Linked DNA regions of Rattus norvegicus. The main gene of each other region encodes a partner of the protein of the gene in region 2 in a complex. Links are inferred from orthologs where the notes say so. Each region holds a gene or a part of one and is shown on either strand. Other genes may lie near its edges.

What was found.
Region 1: the proteins of Cfb (region 2) and Cfp are in contact, whole or in part, in a crystal structure (PDB 7NOZ), measured with the Homo sapiens proteins. The link is inferred for Rattus norvegicus from reciprocal best matches to the Homo sapiens genes CFB and CFP. Residues at the interface, in NP_001701.2 of Homo sapiens: Glu54, Gln56, Ser78, Thr316, Tyr317, Leu349, Ser351, Met394; in NP_001138724.1 of Homo sapiens: Arg329, Arg330, Asn331, Lys333, Pro341, Met420, Val421.

The regions. Positions count from the first base shown.
Region 1 is NC_086039.1:3,712,363-3,721,584, reverse strand, and holds Cfp (properdin precursor), read right to left. Parts: upstream 6,035-9,222; 5' UTR 6,016-6,034; coding exon 5,952-6,015; intron 5,870-5,951; coding exon 5,719-5,869; intron 4,350-5,718; coding exon 4,174-4,349; intron 3,769-4,173; coding exon 3,598-3,768; intron 3,475-3,597; coding exon 3,283-3,474; intron 3,064-3,282; coding exon 2,890-3,063; intron 2,651-2,889; coding exon 2,459-2,650; intron 2,317-2,458; coding exon 2,205-2,316; intron 700-2,204; coding exon 534-699; 3' UTR 472-533; downstream 1-471. UniProt on the Homo sapiens protein: A positive regulator of the alternate pathway (AP) of complement. It binds to and stabilizes the C3- and C5-convertase enzyme complexes. Inhibits CFI-CFH mediated degradation of Complement C3 beta chain (C3b).
Region 2 is NC_086038.1:3,972,175-3,981,379, reverse strand, and holds Cfb (complement factor B precursor), read right to left. Parts: upstream 6,110-9,205; 5' UTR 5,899-6,109; coding exon 5,838-5,898; intron 5,751-5,837; coding exon 5,517-5,750; intron 5,002-5,516; coding exon 4,816-5,001; intron 4,724-4,815; coding exon 4,550-4,723; intron 4,414-4,549; coding exon 4,312-4,413; intron 4,211-4,311; coding exon 4,074-4,210; intron 3,882-4,073; coding exon 3,743-3,881; intron 3,373-3,742; coding exon 3,241-3,372; intron 3,134-3,240; coding exon 3,032-3,133; intron 2,957-3,031; coding exon 2,819-2,956; intron 2,412-2,818; coding exon 2,314-2,411; intron 1,952-2,313; coding exon 1,834-1,951; intron 1,644-1,833; coding exon 1,490-1,643; intron 1,393-1,489; coding exon 1,316-1,392; intron 1,146-1,315; coding exon 1,045-1,145; intron 961-1,044; coding exon 828-960; intron 754-827; coding exon 704-753; intron 455-703; coding exon 299-454; 3' UTR 242-298; downstream 1-241. Other genes in the region: Nelfe (negative elongation factor E), read left to right, coding at 1-22; complement C2, read right to left, coding at 6,613-6,786, 6,936-6,985, 7,106-7,232, 7,379-7,470, 7,624-7,700, 7,809-7,974, 8,077-8,194, 8,283-8,377 and 1 more.

The DNA.
Region 1 (9,222 bases), on a different chromosome or scaffold from region 2:
CAGCTATTTGTTGTTGGTAATTGTGGTGTTGAACTTAAGGCTGTTTTTCAGTGGGTGGGTGCAGGTGCTTTCTCAGCTGGGTGCCAACTCTGGTCACATCCCACCCAATTCATCACTGTAGCAGATCTGCTCGCTGAGATGCCCTGGTAAGTGGGTGGGAACCCAGGAAACTTCATTAAAGTAAGAGAGAGCAACTAAATAGCACACCGGTCAATCAAAAAGTTCCTGCTAAGGTGAGTAGCCAATGGCAAACCCCACTTTGTTGCCCTCCTGTCTAGTCCCACTTCTTTATATTCGTGGCAAAGACAGGCTGGGTTTGGATACTTACTTTCCGGCTTTCCAGGCTACAAACACAATACAACAGAATAAGTCACAATGGGCCATTGCTATGTTGCTCTAAAAAATTCTACTGCCCACTTTTAGGAATGGGGGCAGGCTCCCCTCTTCTTCTTTAAGGAATCTTAGAAAGAATCTAGAAAGGCTGGTTTATTGAGGTTTAGAAGGTCAGGGGGTCAGAATGGAGGCAAGGGATTTTAGGGTTTCTTCTCTTCTGGATCTCTGCAGGAAGGCACATGTAGACATGGCCGTTTCTCTTCCACCACCAGCTTCTGCCCCTGTAGCACCTCACACAGTGGCCGTGGGATCCCCCAGAAGGTAACATTCTTCTCACCCTGACCTTCAACCATGGAAACTGTAGGCCTGGGGTGTTGGGAAAGCAATGGAGGAGAAAAGCTCAGGTAAGGCAAAAATGTATTGAAAAAAACTGTTTTTTTAATCTCAAACTCAATGATATCCCTGCCTCAGCTTCCCAAATGTGGGAATTACAGGCAAGTCTCATCAATTTTTTTGTGGTATTAGAGACAAAACCTAGGACTTTGTACTTGCTAGGCAAATGTTCCTCCATGCTCCCATAGCATAGCATTCTGTTTATTTGTTTGTTTTTTAGGTTCTACTGACCCTTTCCCTCTTTTACCCAGGCTAACCTTGAACTCATTCTGTAATCTAGAAAAGTCTTAAACATGGTCCTTTTGGCTCCAGCCTTTTAAGCAGTTAGGATTATAGGTTTGTACCATTACACCTGAATTAACATCTCACTGTGCATTTAACTCTATGTCTAACTGTGATATTGGGTCATTTCTGATAAAGAAATAGGAAAGATGATCCCCTGTGCCTCAGTTTTCCCTAATCTACAAAATGGCAATAAGAGGAATATTTTTACCTCTAAACCCTTTTTCTTTCCTCATACTCATGTTAAATGCCTATCTCAAGCCACTACTCCTCTCTTCTTCCTTTTCCTTTCTCTTTTCTTTGTCCCTCCTCACTTTACACAAATAGAACCTTATATCCAGGAAGGTTTTTTCCAGTAAGATTTCTCCTTGTAGGCAAGCTCACTATTCATTTTCACCCAGACTCTCTCAATTGGTCTTTTTCCACACAGCCTCTAACTATGTGGGAAACTTAGGAAATTAAAAACTGGTTCCTAACTTCAGGAACCAGTCTGATCCCCCACATCTGGAAAATCCTATCCCAGTGATAGGCCACTTAACAGCTGGAAAAAGACCATTTAACCTTATTTATGTGGTGTAAGAAGGGATGGGTAACTTAACCCTTTCTAACTCCTGGGCCACTGTGGTGTCCAGTAAACACTGAAGGTGGCTAATCAGCTCTGTCTAGAACCTGCTCACTATCTGGATGTCAGGAAGGCTTCTCCAGAAAGGCCTAATTAGTTTTCTAGGTCCAGAGGGTAGTGCAAGTCTCATTGCTACTCACCTGTCATTTTTATATGCATTTTATCACAACTCACCTGGGTACCTTCTACCCATAGATTTGGGTTCTTTTTTAGTGAGTGTTGCTAGAAAGGCCTTGGAGTACTTCAAGGTAGTGAAATGTGGAGTGGATAAATGGAGGGCATGGATGACTGAGTAACTCAAAAGTATGCTAAGAGGTCAGTGAGAAGGCCACATGAAGGATTGTGTGCATGGGAGTCCAGCTAGGTGGCTGCATTAGAAACTGAGGCTGTGAAGTCTTCCCTAATTGCTTCTCCTCTTTCTTTTGTTTCTCTCCTCTTCTCTAAGGTAGGAGATGGCACTGGCAAGGTAGGCACTTTTGATCCAGGGGCTAAGCTCCAGTTCAGTATAACCAATTCCCCTCATATCCTTCAGCATCATGACCCCCTCCTAGAAACACAATGTTCCCCAACTCACGAGTACTTGGGGAGCAAAGGTGTGCAGAGTCGCTGACGGACACGGGTGGGGTTGGGTCCACATGGTGGTGTGCACAGACCCCAGGTACTCCACTGTGACCATGAACCTTTCACTGCAATGGCAATGGGTAGTAGAATGTCATATAGTCAAAACTGGAGGTCTCAATGAGAAAAGGAGACTGAAGGGGCATAGGGTACCCAGCATAGCTACTACATGGTTGTCCACTCTCACTGTGCTGCCTGTGGGTCACTCACAGACACAGTTATGGATGTCATAGCAGTGTCGAATATCTTGGAGTTTCCCAGTACATGGCTGCCCATCAAATTTGCGGCCACCACAGCTCCTTGAACGTGACTGCTGGCCTGGGATTTCATCACAGCTGATGGACTTCATTCTCACACGGCTGCAGTGACTCCATTTTCCCCAGGCCTCCCACTCTCCATTTACTGTAGAGGCAAGGAGTAAGAGGGTTTGTAGCCAGTAAAGAGCTTCAGGGGAAGGACTGAAGAAGGCTTTGGGAGGGAGTGGGAGTGAACAGATGTAGGGATGAAGGCAGAGAGGTGAACCAGGGTATGGGGGCAGGAAGAGGAGAATCATGCAGGAACAAGGTTTTGGCAGCAAGAAGTGGGCAGCAGTGATGGGCAGGGGGCTTAGGCATGGGCATGGTGCCTCTTGACTTGCTAACCAGGGCAAGGCATGGCTGTGTTACAGACGTGTTTCCGAGTGGCATCACCAGCACAAAAGGGGCCCCCATGACGGGGTACAGGGTGATCACATGTCCGTCGTTCTAGGGTCTGGCCCAGGCCACAAGTCACCGGGCAGGGACTTGAAGGGCCCCATGGTCCCCAGCCACCAGCCACTGTTGGAGTAGGAAAGAAAGTTAAAATAAAGCCACTGTAATCATGCATACTCCCTAGTTTCCTTCCATGTCACCTCTAGACATTGAGGCAAATTGTCTGCAGATGATAGGCTTCTCATCACATGGTACAAGAAATTCCATTCCCTCAAATGGCACACCATCTTTGCCAGAAATCCAAAGCCCCACTAGCTACATGCCAATGGCCTCATCCCTGCATACCTGGGCAAGGTGGTAGGCCACTACAGCCCCGATGCTCATAGGCTGTTCCTGAGCAGGGCTTCCCAGGGGGTTGGTGTGAAGGTGCTGGTGCAGAACATGAGCGGCTTCGTGTCTCCTTAGGTTCTTGAGCTCCGCCAAGGCATGATCCTGAGCAGGCGCTCCAGGGGCCCCAGGATGCCCAGGCCCCATGTGCTGTGGTCAGAGTAGAAGGATGAGCTCTGGTCAAGCATGCATAAAAGTCTTTTCTCCCTGGCAGTTTCTGGCTGTAGCCCAACATTCTAGATATCCCTTCTATGTCCTGCTACTCTTACTCACTGGGGCAGATCTTCTGAGTGTCACAGGCCTGTGATTGCTGGGCCTCTCCGGGGCAATGGCCTCCACACTTAGGAGCAGGATTATCACATAGTCGTTGACGGGTCTGGGTTCCTTTGGAGCAGGTGACAGAGCAAGGCCCCCAGGGTCCCCACTCAGACCAGCCACCCATCTCTGTGGAAGAAAAAAGAGAAGGAAGTGGGGATGGCAACCTAGGATTCCTTCCTTTCATGTATGTCCCACATCATCTTATCCTGTCCTATGTCTTTTCCCTATACCTGGCCTGGCAGTACTGCTCATCTGGACTATGGTAGCCTTCATACTCTTCCCTCTGCTCCACATTTGGCCTGCCCTCTTCCCAAATTCAGTCAAAGCGAATTCCTCCCCATCCCATAAACCAAACCATTCAGACTAAAGCCAATGTCTTCACTTTTGAAAATCCTCCTTCAGCAATCTTAGCCTCCTCCATTCCCCTTAAAGCCATACAAGGTCTGTCCTCAGGGCCTCTATACTGATTCTTCTGGAGCGGGGGGGGGAGGGGGGGGCTGTGTCCATGTCCACATTGCTCATCTTCCTTACCTGGACAGCATAGCTGATCCTCACAGGCCTGTAGCTGCCACTCAAGAGTTCCAGGAGCCGCCTTCTCAGAGCACTGTCCACCCCTACCCACACAGCGCCTGTGTCGCAGCTGGGACCCCTCAGAGCATGTAACTGAGCAGGGCCCCCATGAGGACCATGCTGACCATTGTGGGGACCTGTGAAGAGGAGCCTATGTTCTCTCCTGGTATGAAGTGACAGGATACATCATTGAGAGCCGACTTACCACTTAGGGATGGTGGGTGATTGAACATGAAGAAGTAAATATACAGGAAATATATGATAAATTTCATTTCGCTTCATAGCAAGGGCCCTGGAAACCCCCCAGGGTCAAAGCCAGAAGATGTACAGTAAGCAAATTTAAGGACTAAAAAACCCAGAACTTCTGCCAGGAACTCAATAGGTCACTACCCTGTAGAGTATCAGGCAGAGAGGAAGTACTTAGTAAACAGAAGTTCAGAAGTTCCTTCAGAAACATCCTAGCGATACACTTTGCTTCTGCACAGGACTGACTGGGTTTGCATGCTAATATGGGTATGTACATGCCAGTGTTAAAGAGACATGAACTGTTAGCATGATAAATGGTCCAGAGCTGCTCTCCAAGATCTTCAAACCCATCATCTTTACAATGTTATCTGGAATATATAGTAAGCAGTCATAAAATATATCTATAGTATAGTAAGGCTCAACATACGTAAACTGGAAGTCATAATTAGGAGATTCATGGTGCTTTCAGAGATCAAATTGCCACAAAAGAATTGCACAATCATCAGAATTAAAGATTTGGCATTGCCCTCAGAATTTCCCTAAAGTCCTCCATTTCTATGATGCTTTTATATATGATAAGCATTCAAATATGATCTGTTGTAAGTTAGGAGAATGAAGCCACCATCAAAAATATCTAAGTTGCACTCCACCCACAATGTTTACAGGAAGTCCTGACTTTTAAAGTACTTTTAAATCAGGGTTAATTTTGTCTCTCCTAAGGGACGTTTCACAGTGTCTGGATTCAGTTATTTAAAAAAAATCTTCTCTCATACAATACAGCCTAACTGTAGTTTTCCTTCTCTTCATTCCTCCCAGTACCCCTCACCATAACCTCCTTTCTTCCACAGATCCATTCCTCCTCTTCCCCTTCAGAAAAATGTAGGCTTTCCAGGGATAGCAACCAAACATGGCATAAGAAGATGTAATTAAGACCAGGCACAAATCCTTATATCAAGGCTAGATGAAGCAACCCAGGAGGAGGAAGTGTCCCAAGCACAAAGACACCCCTATTCCCACTATTAATCGGTGCAGAGAGTTATTAAAAACATTTAGGAAAAGGTCAGGTATGTTATAAACTACTAAACAGTGCACAGCTAAGAGCTCATACCCCCAACAAAGAGCTCCAAGCAACAGTGCCAAGATTTTTAAACCCTGAGCTATGGTTATAAGGAGGGCTTGTGGGGGGAGGGGCACTCTTAGAAGCTCCAGGGCAGAGAGTATAGTTTTATATTATAGGGCTCAGCCTAGGTTCCTCCAAACCTGCATGACTGACAGAGGCCCCCATCATGTTCCTGGAAGGCATAGGCAGTGTTGAGACAGCAATCTTCCACCCTGATGTCTCTTCCAAGTAGGCCTTTGCACCTGCCAGAGGGCTCCTCATACTGGGTGAAGCAGAGCACAGGGTCTGAGCCTTCAGAGGAGAGGAATGGGCAATCAGGAGTATGGTCGGCCTGGACATCCCTGGGAGGACATGTGGGCCCTTATCCACTTACCTGTGGTTGGCAGGATAAGCAATAGGAGCAGGAGCCACTGAGGGGCTTGCATTCCAACGGGCATTGTGAACACTATGTTTCTGCACTCCTCACAGAGAGGAGGCTTTGGTTTTGTCTGGACTGACCTGCTCTGGAAAGAGGAACCCAGGGCAGGAGGAACTGGGAGGGTATGGCCCCTTAACTCTGACCTCTTCCTTGAGCACTCTACCTCCTCTTTTCTCCCCTCTCCATTTCCTGAGTCACCCTTGATCCTGCTTGGTCACTCAGTCTTTGTCACCTAATACCCCACGCCACCCAGAAATCTTAGTTTTCAGTCAATGCTTTGGAGACAAATTCTCACTAAAGGGCACTGGAGCCTGAAAGTCTGAAGCAATAACCACCTAGGTGTGTGTCAACTTTGGCTTGGCAAGTCACTTTAAATTCTCAGCTTTGGTTTTCCTTTTTTTTTTTTTTTTTTTGAGATAAGGTTTTGCAACATAGCCACACCTGAAATTTGCTTTGTACACCAGGCTGGCCTTGAACAGGCAAGTAACACCTTGGGTGGCTCATATAATCTTGACTATAGTGGTCAATTTCATGGGGCTTCTGAAGAAGGGTGAAATGAAGGAAGCCCTTGTCAGTCTGTCAAGGAGAAGGCATCAGGGCAGCTACTTTAACTACCATTTTGAAAGCCTAACCCTTTCCTAAAAGTGAGGTTCCTGTGGTCAGCATGTATGTGTGGGAGGTCAATGCAAGGGAAGTGAAAAAGGGAAGTGGCATTGTGTGGGAAGCGATTCAGAATAGGGGAGGTTCAGGCATACACATTGCCTAGGGTGTGTGAGGGTGCATCTGAAGAAACCCTTAGAGTCTACAGGGATAGAGAAAAGACAAAGAGCTGGGCCATAGTCTATTAGAGTACCCAGGGCAGATAATATTCTCTTCTGAGCCTGTTTCCTTTATTGTAAAATGTGCCCACAAGCAGGACCCTGAAAGGTATAGTCCTATAGTCTTAGCTGCTTTGGAGGTTGAAACAAGCAGAAAGAAAGTTCAAGGCTACAGTGTGAGTTCAAGGCTACCCTGGCTGATTTTTGTGGGATTCTGTCTGAAAAATAAAATTTAAAAAGGGGCAGGGTAGAGGTGAGAATGCTCAGTTAAGGTGCTTGCTGCAAAACTTGTTGACCTGGGTTTAATTCCTAGGGCTCACATGGATAAAGGAGAGAACTGACTTCCTCAAGTTGTCCTCTGACATGTGCGCTGTGGCTCATATGTGCAGCGCCTCAATTAAATAAATGTAATAAAACCTTTTAAAGGTTAGAGGTGTAGCTCAGTTGGTAGAGTGATAGCATAGCATTAACGAAACCCTTGGTTTGTTCCTTAGCACCATTTAAATTAGCAACTTGGGTGGGGGAGTGTAGAGGCAAGAGGATCAGAAATTCAAGGCTATCCTTGGCTACACAGCCTGGCTGTGTTTAGTAAACTGGTTTGTTCAACAGTTATTGAGCACCTACTGAGTGTTCTCAGCATTACATGGCTCTCTAACGAGACAGAAAAAAAATCACTGCCTCTGAAGGACTTACTCTACAAGGGGAAACTAGCAGTAAAAATTTTTCACAAAGGTCTCCTGTGACCCCTCTTGGGTGCCAATACTCTCTAGCCTTAGGACACACAAGAATCACTAATAGGGCTTCTTGATCCAACTGCATATTGTTGGATCCTACCTGTTGCTCATTCAGCAGGTGTGGTTAACAAATTAACAGATGTCTAACAAATTCCCAGGAGACACTGATATTGTTTGGAAGAACGTTTTGAGAACCACTATTTTGGTCCCTGGTCCCTTTTTAGTTTTTTTGGTGGGTCATATCTAGAAAATTTACAGTGCCTTGTTTCACTGTTAGTGTGTTAGTGACTGATCCATCTTCAGCCCATTTTCCCCAAAGAAAATCTGAGCTCCACAGACCCGCTTTTAATTTTTTTAAAACAAGCCTCAATGAGCGAAACTGTAGAATCTGCTGTAAAAACAGCACCTTTGTGCCCTGGGGATGTAGTTTAGTGGTAGACTGTCTACCTAGTATGAGCTGGACCTTGGGTTTGATTCCCAGGGTCACAAAAATAAAGAAATAAATAAAAACAACACTCTTGATAATCCACAAAAATGAGCTTAAGAAAGATGACACTTGTTCTCTTGCAGTCACAGATGAGCACCAGTCTACAAATTGAATTAAGATAAAATAAGTTAAAAAAAAAGGGTTGGGGATTTGGCTCAGAGGTAGAGTGCTTGCCTAGCAACCGCAAGGCCCTGGGTTCGGTCCCCAGCTCCGGAAAAAAAAAAAAAGATAAAATAAGTTGATCAGAATTAAAATAGAAGTCCCTCAATAATCTGCACTTGATTTGGGTAGGGGTGATAAAATTTGTTACTATTATCCTGTTATTATTAAAACAATATTATTCTGTTAATATCCACCACAGAAGTACCTTGTTCTCTGAGAGTATATTTGTCTCTGTATGCATTGAACAAAGGAATCTTGTTAAGATTCCATGACTATAGCTGTGGGTGCTATTATCTTGTAAAAAACTAGACTGCAATTCTTTCTGAATGCATTATTCAATCACCTTTTGCCTCACTAATGTTAGAATTGATATTTCTTTTGTTCCTACACAGCATATATCCTCATAGCCCCTGTGGATGAAGGGTATCAACAGTTTTTTTCCCACGTACTTCTAAGGTACTCAAATGACTTCAGATTGCTTATTTAAACAAAGAATGAGAGTCTGGTTTTATTTATTATTGCCTGATAGAATTTACTTATCTGTTCTGTCAGTTTCCCTGAGTATCAACCCAACAAAGGAAGTCTTTTTTTTTTTAATTAAAAAACGGGAAGGGAGATGAAATAGGGTCTTGCTATTTAGCTCAGGTTGGCCTTGAACTCATGGCTACCCTCTTGAATACCTGGGGTTACAGGCTTGAGACAGACAGACAAAGACAGACAGACAGACAGACACACATACACAGACAGACTTCAATACAACTGTTGTTTTAAAATAAGGTCTTTCTGTGTAGCCCAAGTCTCACACCTAGCAACTCTGCTGCCTCAGAATCCTGAGTATTGAGAAGGGCAGAAACTTTTGTTCATTTTGTTAGCTATGAGGTGTTTAGGACAACAAACAGGCAAGAGATAACAGAAGACAAACAATAAACATCTGCTCAATCAATATATGGAAGTGCTAAGAGGATATTTAAAAAAGTGGGCATCACTTTGCAGCATCTATTTCAAGTGCTAGGACCAGATAAAGC
Region 2 (9,205 bases):
TGTGTACAGTGACGATCTATAGGAAACCTTGTGGATGGCTTCTAGGACATGAAGCTGGATTCCTTGTGCCTCATATGCCCCCAAGCTGGTCTCAGTAAAATCCTGGGGTAGAAGCTTTTCACCTCTGTCAGCCTCTAGTCTTTGAGCACTTGGGATTGGAGTTGAGCCTTCAAAAGCAGCTGTCAGTGTTGTTAACCAGTGCACGCCCCACTCCCTTACCCCAAAAAGATGTGGAACACACTTTGTATTTGTATTGTAGCTGCTTTAATCTGCCCTCACCCTCCCAGCAGGAAGCTCCTTATAAGAAACCCAAGTCCTCGTCTTTGAGCTTCTCCTTTAGCCAGGGCAGCACCTGGAAGAGATTGATGTGGAAGTCCCGGGCATAGGAGGGCACCAACTGTTGCCGCCTCGGGTCTTTGCAGACATCCACTACTCCCCAGCTGATCACACCAACCTGTGTAGATAAGGAGGGCCATGGTCACTTGACACTTCATAACCCCAGAAAGCTTCTGAGCTGGCCTAAAGAAGTGCACTGGGAGCCAGCTCCTCTCTCTTCTATGGTGCACATAACCTGGCTTTCACTGGCCAGTTAAGAACAGATGAGGTGGGCCCGTTCTGCCACCTTTATCAGCCGTGCACATCAAGCTTCCTTTTTTGTGACACCTGAGCATCTCCCCAATGGACTGGAAAAGGGACCACTCACTTGAATGAAGCGGCTTCTCTTGTGAACAATGAGAGGGCCCCCGGAGTCTCCTGTAGAAGAGAGAGGCTGTAGGGGAGACTGCTGGGCTGTGTGGGCTTGCCGCATAGCCAGAGAGCCACCTCACCTTTGCATGTGTTGGGGTCAGCATAGGGATCTACCCCTCCGGTGCACAGGAACCTGGGGGTGACCACCTCAGAGGCAACTTTGACCTTCTCATAGCCTTGGGCCTTTGTAGCATCTCTCTCACAACTGGCTTTCTGTAGGCGACAAAGGTGTGGTAAACAAAACTAGCTCAGGAAAGAATGAGGCCTATGTGACCCTCTCCAGAAACTTCTTATCACCTTTTCCCCATTCTTGATGTACACCTCCTTCCGGGTCAGCTTCTTCCCTTCCTCGGATACAAACAGAGCTTTGACGTCCTTCATAGGGAGCAACTCTTCCTCTGGAAAAGTAAAAGGGCCATGCCAGCTGTCCCCTTGCTTCTCATCTAGCAGGTGTCCCTTGGGCCCTTAGGTGCTAGGCCCTGAACTGAGCAGTTTACACTTGCAGCTCCCTCCTCTGCCCCTTTGTCTCGGGAGTCTCCTCCTTGTCTTAGCCCAGACTATGCCTTACTGTGCTGTTTGCAGGTGGCTGTCTGAGGAAGCCGCAAGGCTCGGGTGGTTCCCTCTGTGCAGGGGAGACAGATGGGCCTATGGAGACAGGTAGAGTGAGGGACCACAGACAGCCTGTTGTGTCCTATGCTCCAGCCCACCTTCCCTAGTTCCTCTGGGACCCAGCCCCACTCACCTGAGAGTCTGGCTGTACTTCAGCTTGGTCTTGAGCTTGATGAGGGCAACATCATAGTCATAGAACTCAGAGATTCCTTCTGCCTTTTTCCCATTGATGTCGTAATTAGGGTGGAACAGGACCTCTTCAATCTCCAGGTCCCGCCTTTTCCCCTCTGAGTGAAGGAGAATGGGAACCATGTTTATGTGAGCAGCCTCCTTCCTCTGGCCCCATCTTATCTCTTGGATTCTGTTTCCCCATCCTTGATTGGTCAGGGTTTAAGGGAGGGGCATGCTGAGAATGGGTGAGCTACAGGTCATAACGTCAGTGCTTCCTGAGGATGGGCCTGGAGGTCAGAGTCTTACCCACGTTGACCTTGATGGAGTGTTTCTGATCTTCCACTGTGAAGCAATGCGCTGCTGTCAGCACGAAGTACTCGGACACCACGGCCCCCATACAGTTCTCATGTCCTTTCAGAGGACGCTAGGAAGCCAGTGCAGACTAACCTTGGTGTGTGCGCTGGAGACAAGCTTCGTACAAGCTAGGTGAACACTAGCCCCAGCTTTCTTCTCTTCATTACATCTACACAGCTTTACTGTGTAGCCCAGACTAACCTGAGACTCAAGGCAGTGCTGTGCTCACTTCCAAATGCCAGGTTACCAGCACGGATGTGTCCCATGCCCAGCTTCCTTTCCCACTTTCAGTCAGTTTTGAATTGATTGACCTTGAACTCACTGTAGCCCAAGCAGGCCATGAATCTACCCTGCCTCAGCTTCCTGAACAGCCAGGATTACAGCTAGTGTGGACATCTCACCTCCCCAAGTCCCCAGTGCTGGGAAGCTTACAGTGACTGAGATCTTGGCTTGCCATGGTTGCTTGTAATAATCACCGCCTTTCTGATGCTCCCACACCATGCCACAGAGACCCAGAGATTTGGTTTCATCTGTCAGGGAAAGAACACTGAAGGCTTGTCATTGCTGCCACTTTTGTTGGATCCCTTCATGTCTGTAGACAGCAGAGGCACAGAAGAGGGAAGGAAAGCAGGAGAGAGGGCTCTTGTGTGTTAAATGAGGAACCCCCATGGCGTAGTGAGAAAGATTGACCAGGCAATCTGAGGACTGAGCATTTTTAGCTACAGTCTGGGTGCTGACTTGCTGTGCTTGGCCTCAGTTTCCACATCTGTAAAGTAGGCTATCAGTTCTGTGATTGTGAGAAGTCAGGAAGTGAATGTCAGAAGTAAGAATAGGCATGGGGTGAGCCTTCCAGGTTTTAAGGGCTATAGGGTGAGAGGAGTTGGCGACCTCAGCCTGCAGCTTCCCCTTCCACACCCTTGAGCCTGAGCTTTCCTACCGATCATTTTGTAGAAGACGTTCTCCAGATCCTCCATGTCCTTGACCTTGAACACATGCTGCTCATTGTTCTTTTTGGAAGCCAAGGCATTGATGTTCACAGGGTCCACCAGAGGCCCGACCCCAAACACATACACATCTGAAGGAGAGAAGGAGAGGGTAAGGGTCCAGGCCCTGAGGAGTGAGGGTGCTGGATCCCAAGTGAGCCACTCACCCAAATAATCCTCCCGGGGATTTTTGCGATCCCTGCCAATATCCAGCAAGTCTCGGATGTCCTCAATGACAGTGACAGGGTCTCCACCCATGTTGTGCAAGCCTGTGGAAACAGGAGGATTGTGAAAGTGGGTCAAGGAAGATACACCGGCTGGAGACAAACACTTGTGCAGGACTTGAGAGGACGGTGGGGTAGGAGAAAGGCCTTACCATCAGTCATGATGATGATGACGTGGCGGGTTCGATTCCAGCCTTCAGGCGGAGCATCCCCTGGCCAGCTCATCATGCTGTATACAGCCTGGAGAGCCTTCTTGGTGTTGGTCCCTGACTTCAGCTTGTGGTCTATAGAGAAAGGGAGGTTATTGACCTTATCTTCCAAGCCACTATTACCCCTCAGAAGTCTATGACAACTAAGATCCCACATTCTTTAACATTTACTATGTAGACCATGCTGGCCTTGAACTCTCAGAGATCCACCTGCCTTTTGCATGTTGGGATTAAAGGCTTGTTCCACCAAGTCCAGGCAATATTTAACTTTTAGGTGATCACCTGCTTGCCCTTGGCTCTCCCAGCACTCTCTATTGCTCAAGGACACTTTCGTTCAACCTCTAACTAGTAGTAGTCTGTCTACTTTCTCCAGAAGAACCCTGAGCCTCTTGACCACCACAGCCCCAAGGTGCACCTCCCGGCTTTCCCTTCCCTGACCTCTGACCTTCATAACTGATTTGGTTGAGCTTCTCTGTGACCCAGTCGGCATCACTACTCCTCTCCTCAGACACTCTGACCAAGACTTTGGGGACTGTGGCATATGTCACTAGACCGTATCTTGGCTTCACCCCATAACTCGCCACCTGTGCATGAGCAAGAGGCCATTGTGTTAAAACTATGGTGGGTAGTCAGCACTCCTACTGAGACAGGGAGAAGGCTGGAGGACAACAGGACTCGGACCCAGAGAATCTGGAGACACAGGAAACCAGTCTTGTAAGAGCAGTGGAGTCCACACAAGCTCCCCTTATTCCAAAGGGATGGAAGCTGTGATCTACCTTCTCAATCAAGTTGGCGAGACACCGCTTGGCCCCTGTGAAGTTGCTGGCCCCGATGCTGTCGGATCCATCCAGCACCATGTAGATATTCATGGAGCCCGAGGGGTCCAGGATAATCTTCCTCTTCTGCTGTTCCCCTAGGTACCAGCAGAGTCTCAGTCTCTGGCATGTGCAGTACCTGGCAGGCCACCCACCCTTCCCTGAGCTTCCTGCTCAACCTCCCTCCTTGTATTCAAACCTGGGCTGTGCCCATCCTCCGCATCTGCTCCTTCGATGGTCTCTGTCAGGGAGGATAGAAATGCTTCGGCCACCTCTTGAGGGCTGTCGTACATGAAGGAATCTAGGGATGATCAGAGTAGATCAGATGTCTGGAGTACTGAGGACGTACTGACAGGGTGATGGGATTTCAGGACCAGAGACTTCTAGTGTGGAGCCAACAGGGCAAGAGCCAACCCAGGAAGCAGGTCAAGGGTCACCTTGGCAGGAAGGCTCTGTCCCACTCCACGAGCCACCTTCCTGGCACCTTCGCTGCTGGGAGCCACGTAGGACAAGTCCCCGACTACAGTGGTAAGTGACAGTGTCTTCAAGACGGTACTGGCTTCCCACCTTCCTTGTCCCAATAGGAATACCCGGGTTGGGACAGTATCCCGCTGCAGAGACATGAAGACAATTTGAGTGCTCGTGCATTCCCACGGTGAAGCCCTCCAGCAGGGAGTAAAATCAGGGGTGACCTGGTTCTCACCTCCATCATCACAGATTGCTGTTTGCCCATCCCACCGGCCATTCTCTTGGCAGGTGCGATTAGCAGAGCCCCGGAGAGTGTAGCCATCATAGCATTGAAAAGAAATCTGATCACTCAGGTTGTAGTAGGGGGACCGGGGCCAGAACTCCCCATTTTCAAAGTCCTGTGGTCGTGGGCAGCGTATTGCTTTAGGGGAGACAGGTAAAAGTCACCAAGAGCTGTTTCTAGGTCCTTCCTGCTCTTAGAAATCCTGTCACTGAGAAACAGTACCTGCCCAGTCCCCTCAACCCTGCTGTCCCCTCCTCTTGTGTTGTGGGATTATTTTGTTTTGTTCTGAGACACGGGCTCATGTAACCCAGGCTGGCTTCAAACTGGCTATGGAGCTGAAGATGACTGAATTTGTCCCCCTCCTGGCCCCATGTCCTGAGCGTTAGGATTGCGGGCGCCACCCCTGCTCCTGCTTCGCACAGCATTGCTTTATGCACGGCAGGCGAGCACTCTCCCAGCTGATCTACATCTCCAGACTCCCTTGCCCTGTTTCCCAGTATTGTTTTCACTGCCTGAGGAAAGCCTTCGTACACGCACCCCCAACCCCCGAGGTGTTTCCACGCTCAGCCGGCCCACAGGTCAGACTGCCAGGCACTGAACAGCCTCCATCAGCTCTGACCAGCCACCCACCGCCACACTCCCAAACCCCCAACCTCTGCATTCTGCCTTCTTGACAATCTTTTGGTCCCGGGTCTGGAGGACACTCCAGGAGCCTGTGGATTTGCAGGTTCGAGTCTGCACAGGGTATGGGTAGAAGCCAGAGGGACACAGGTACTCCAGGGCCTGACCGTCTTGGAGAAGTTGGAAGGAGCCGCCTTTGATCTCTACTCCCTCCAGAGAGCAAGAGACCTGGGGCCGGGCCTCAAGCACTGGAGTTGCGCTCACACCTGAGGAGAAAGGCTGGTGAAGCCTGGCCCCAGAAGACCAAAGACAGCTGATGAGGACAAAAAGAGGATGGAGTGTCCTTTGCTTACCTCCGGAGGAGAGGCCTAAGACCAAGAGGACTAAGCAGAGCTGGGGACCCTCCATTGTCATGGAAAGCCCGTGGCCAAAAGCCCTTTCCAGTTCACTCTGGGTGGCTACTTGACTTGCTGTCCAGACTGAAACTCCAGTGCTGGATCTGGCTACACCCCTTTCCCACCGGCCCCTAACCTTTTATGCAATCTGCTCTGGCACCTGCAGCCTGGCCAACCTACCCTGCACAGACGCTGCTTCCCGGAACATTCATGAAGGAGGGCCCCTGCTGAGCTGCCAACTGAGGAAACAGAAACTATGCGAGCGCCCCACCCTTTACTGACCAAGGGCCAGAACTTCCCTTTCAGAGCTCCCTCTTAGCCCCCAGACCCTAGTAACAAGCCCAGACCACCCCCACCGCCACCCCCCACTTAGAGACCAGTTTTCCCCGGGCTGTGTGATGGGGCAGAGTCCAGCCACTGTTTGTGCAGCAGGGTCTCTGACCTTCCTGGAACCTTCCTGGCCTCCCCACCCCCAAGACATAAGACAGACCGGATGTGGAAATCATTGATTTTTATTAATTTCATAACTGGGAAATTCTGTGTGAAAGCAAAAGGAGCACGGGTCATCCACACTAGAGAGACACTTGCTTCTCGGGAGGGCACAGTGGTTCTGGCACAACCCTGGGGATTCCTAGCTTTTGTCTCTGCGTTCCAGGATTTATGTACCTGGGAGCAAGAACACTCAGAGGCAGAAGACAGGAGGGACAGACCAGCAAAGGAGTCGGTGACCGTGTTAAAGGGGCAAAAAGTCGAGGACACCATCCAGGTGCTGCCTCAACCAGGGCTGCAGCCGGAAGAGACTGATGTGGAAGTCCCTAGGCACAACGCCATGCGGAGGCTTCCTGCGCAAGTTTTTGTTGGAGGAACCGTGACAAGGGTCAAAAAGACCCCAACTCACCAGGCCCACCTGGAGGGAAGAGACAACATGAGGAGATAAAGGCAGCCCCACTCCAAGCCTCCACCTCTCTGGTTCCCCTCAAAGGCCTCCCACCTGCTGCCAGCAAGAAAGCACTTGTATCCTGGCAGTGAGTCCCCTCTCCAGATCCTGCTTCTCACCTGGAAAAACCTGTACCTCCGCTCAAGGAAAACGGCTCCCCCGGATTCTCCTGCAGAGAAAGAAAGGGCGGCATTGTCCAGGACAGCACACTAGTTAGTATTCAGAGTGAGTGCTGACCACGGGGACACCACAGCCTTCTTTCTCCCTGGAAGTCCGGGACCAGACTAACCTTTGCAAGGACTGTCATCTCCCTCCATCCCGCTACATAGGAACTGGTCTGTCACCACCTCACTGACGTTTGTCAAGCCGGGGAAGCTGCCCTTGTTTTGGGAGACAGCCTCGATACAGCTTGTCCTCTGCAGCGTGGGGCACAGGAGAGAAGAATGGGGACGTGCCAGGAGACATTAGGCAGACCAGCGAGGTCCGACTCCAAACAGGGCCGGACACTCTAGGAGCTGCCCCCCCCCCCAGAGTATCCCAGCATCCCTCACTGAGCTCTCACCTCAGGTCCTGTCCTGAGGTTGATGTTCATTCTGTTCCCGTTCAGAGCTACGAAATGCGCAGGAACCTTCTGCTGTGACAGAAGTTCTGTCTCTGCCGTCGGGGAGAAGGGGGATGTCGATACAGGTCTCTTTACCCAGAGCTGATGTGTCCAGCTCGAGGACTGCAGCCCCCCCCACCCCTGCTGGCACCCCGCAAGCAAGCTCTGGCGCAACCCACCAAGGACCTCAAGCCTCCAGCACTCACCATGGTCTTTACAGGTACTACCTGGGGATCTCCGCAGAGCCATGTTGGCCCCCACTGTGCAAGGAAGGCAGATGGGCCTGGGAGAAAGGCGAGCGAGCGTCAGACAGGCCCATCCTCCCTGTGCCCTCTGGTGCTTTCCAGAGCACTGCCCTCTCTAGGGTACCCTCCCACCTAGGTCCACGCACCTGGCGTGGCTGGACATTTTCACTCTCTGAGACAGCTTCAGCAGGGCAATGTCATCAGCGTAGAACTCCGAGATGCCCTGGCTCTGCTTTGCGTGGACATTAAACCCAGGGGCAACTAACACCTCCTCCACATGGAATTCTTTGCCGTGATGAGAGGTGGGATCCCCTGAGAACAGCAGTGGGTTAGACCGGACCAAAGGCTGAGGAGAGACAGTGGTGACTCTGGCCTTGCGGGTGAGGGGTCGGTCCCCTGCAGCCCCTGACTTACCCACGATGACCCTCCACAGGTGGCGGTCCTCCATCTGAGCGTCATGGAAGCAGTGAGCCGCAGTCAGCACCCACTGGTCAGAGATAAGCGACCCCTGGCAAGTCTCCTTACTCTTGGGCTGCAGGGAAGAGACAGCAGTCCGGGTTTGCCGTGCCTGGCTGCTTTTAAACCTCTGTGACCCGAACCCTGCCCCTCCTTCCTGATACCTTAAAGGTGACTTGCCAAGGTGTCCTCTCCTGGTCAGAGGCATTGACGGACATGTTCCCCACCCCACAGATGGTGTCTGTGAGCTTAGAGACATCTATGGGCGAAGACCAGATGGGAGGGGACGGGGGTGAGGGCCACCGATCCAGGCTTCGTGGTGAGCCCCCCCCCCACCCGTCTGAGTGCCCACTGTGCTGTCCCCCGCAGGGGACACGAAGCTCACTCACCCAGAATGTGCTCAAAGACCTGCTGCACAGCTTTTGCGTCCTGCAAGATGAAGGCGTGCCTCTCGCCGTCCTTCTTGGACCCCAGCTCGTTCAGTTCCTTCCAGTCCACATCCAGCTTACCCACCCCAATCGCATAGATGTCTGGCAGGCAGGAGGGAAATCACCAGAGCCTGAGACTCAAGGGGCCACCCAAGACATGAGGCAGGTGTTTGAACTCTCAAAGCCGACAAAGGCCTGAGTTAGATGGGCTCCATCTCCTTCACACACACACACACACACACACACACATACACACACACACACACACACACACACACACACACACACACACACACACACGTTCACTTCCTCTCCTACTGCCACCCAGCCCCCCACAGCCTCCTAGATTCCCTCCTCAGGCCTCAGCTCCAGCTGCACCTCTGGCTGGGGCGCTCTCCTCCAGATGCCCACACAGGTCTTCCTCAGCAATGTCTTCTGAACCTACAATGCCCAGTACCCTCCCACGCCACCCCCTCTTGGCTTCACATCATGTCACCACTTGAATGCTGAAGGGCTACCTTGTTTCTATCCTGTGTATAGCACCGTGTGTTCCCAAAGGAATGTTTCCAAGTTCAATTCTATTGTGGATGTGATCTGAATCAGAAGTAGGGCTCACTCTCTGTAGACTAGGCTGGCCTCGAACTCACAGAGACCTGCCT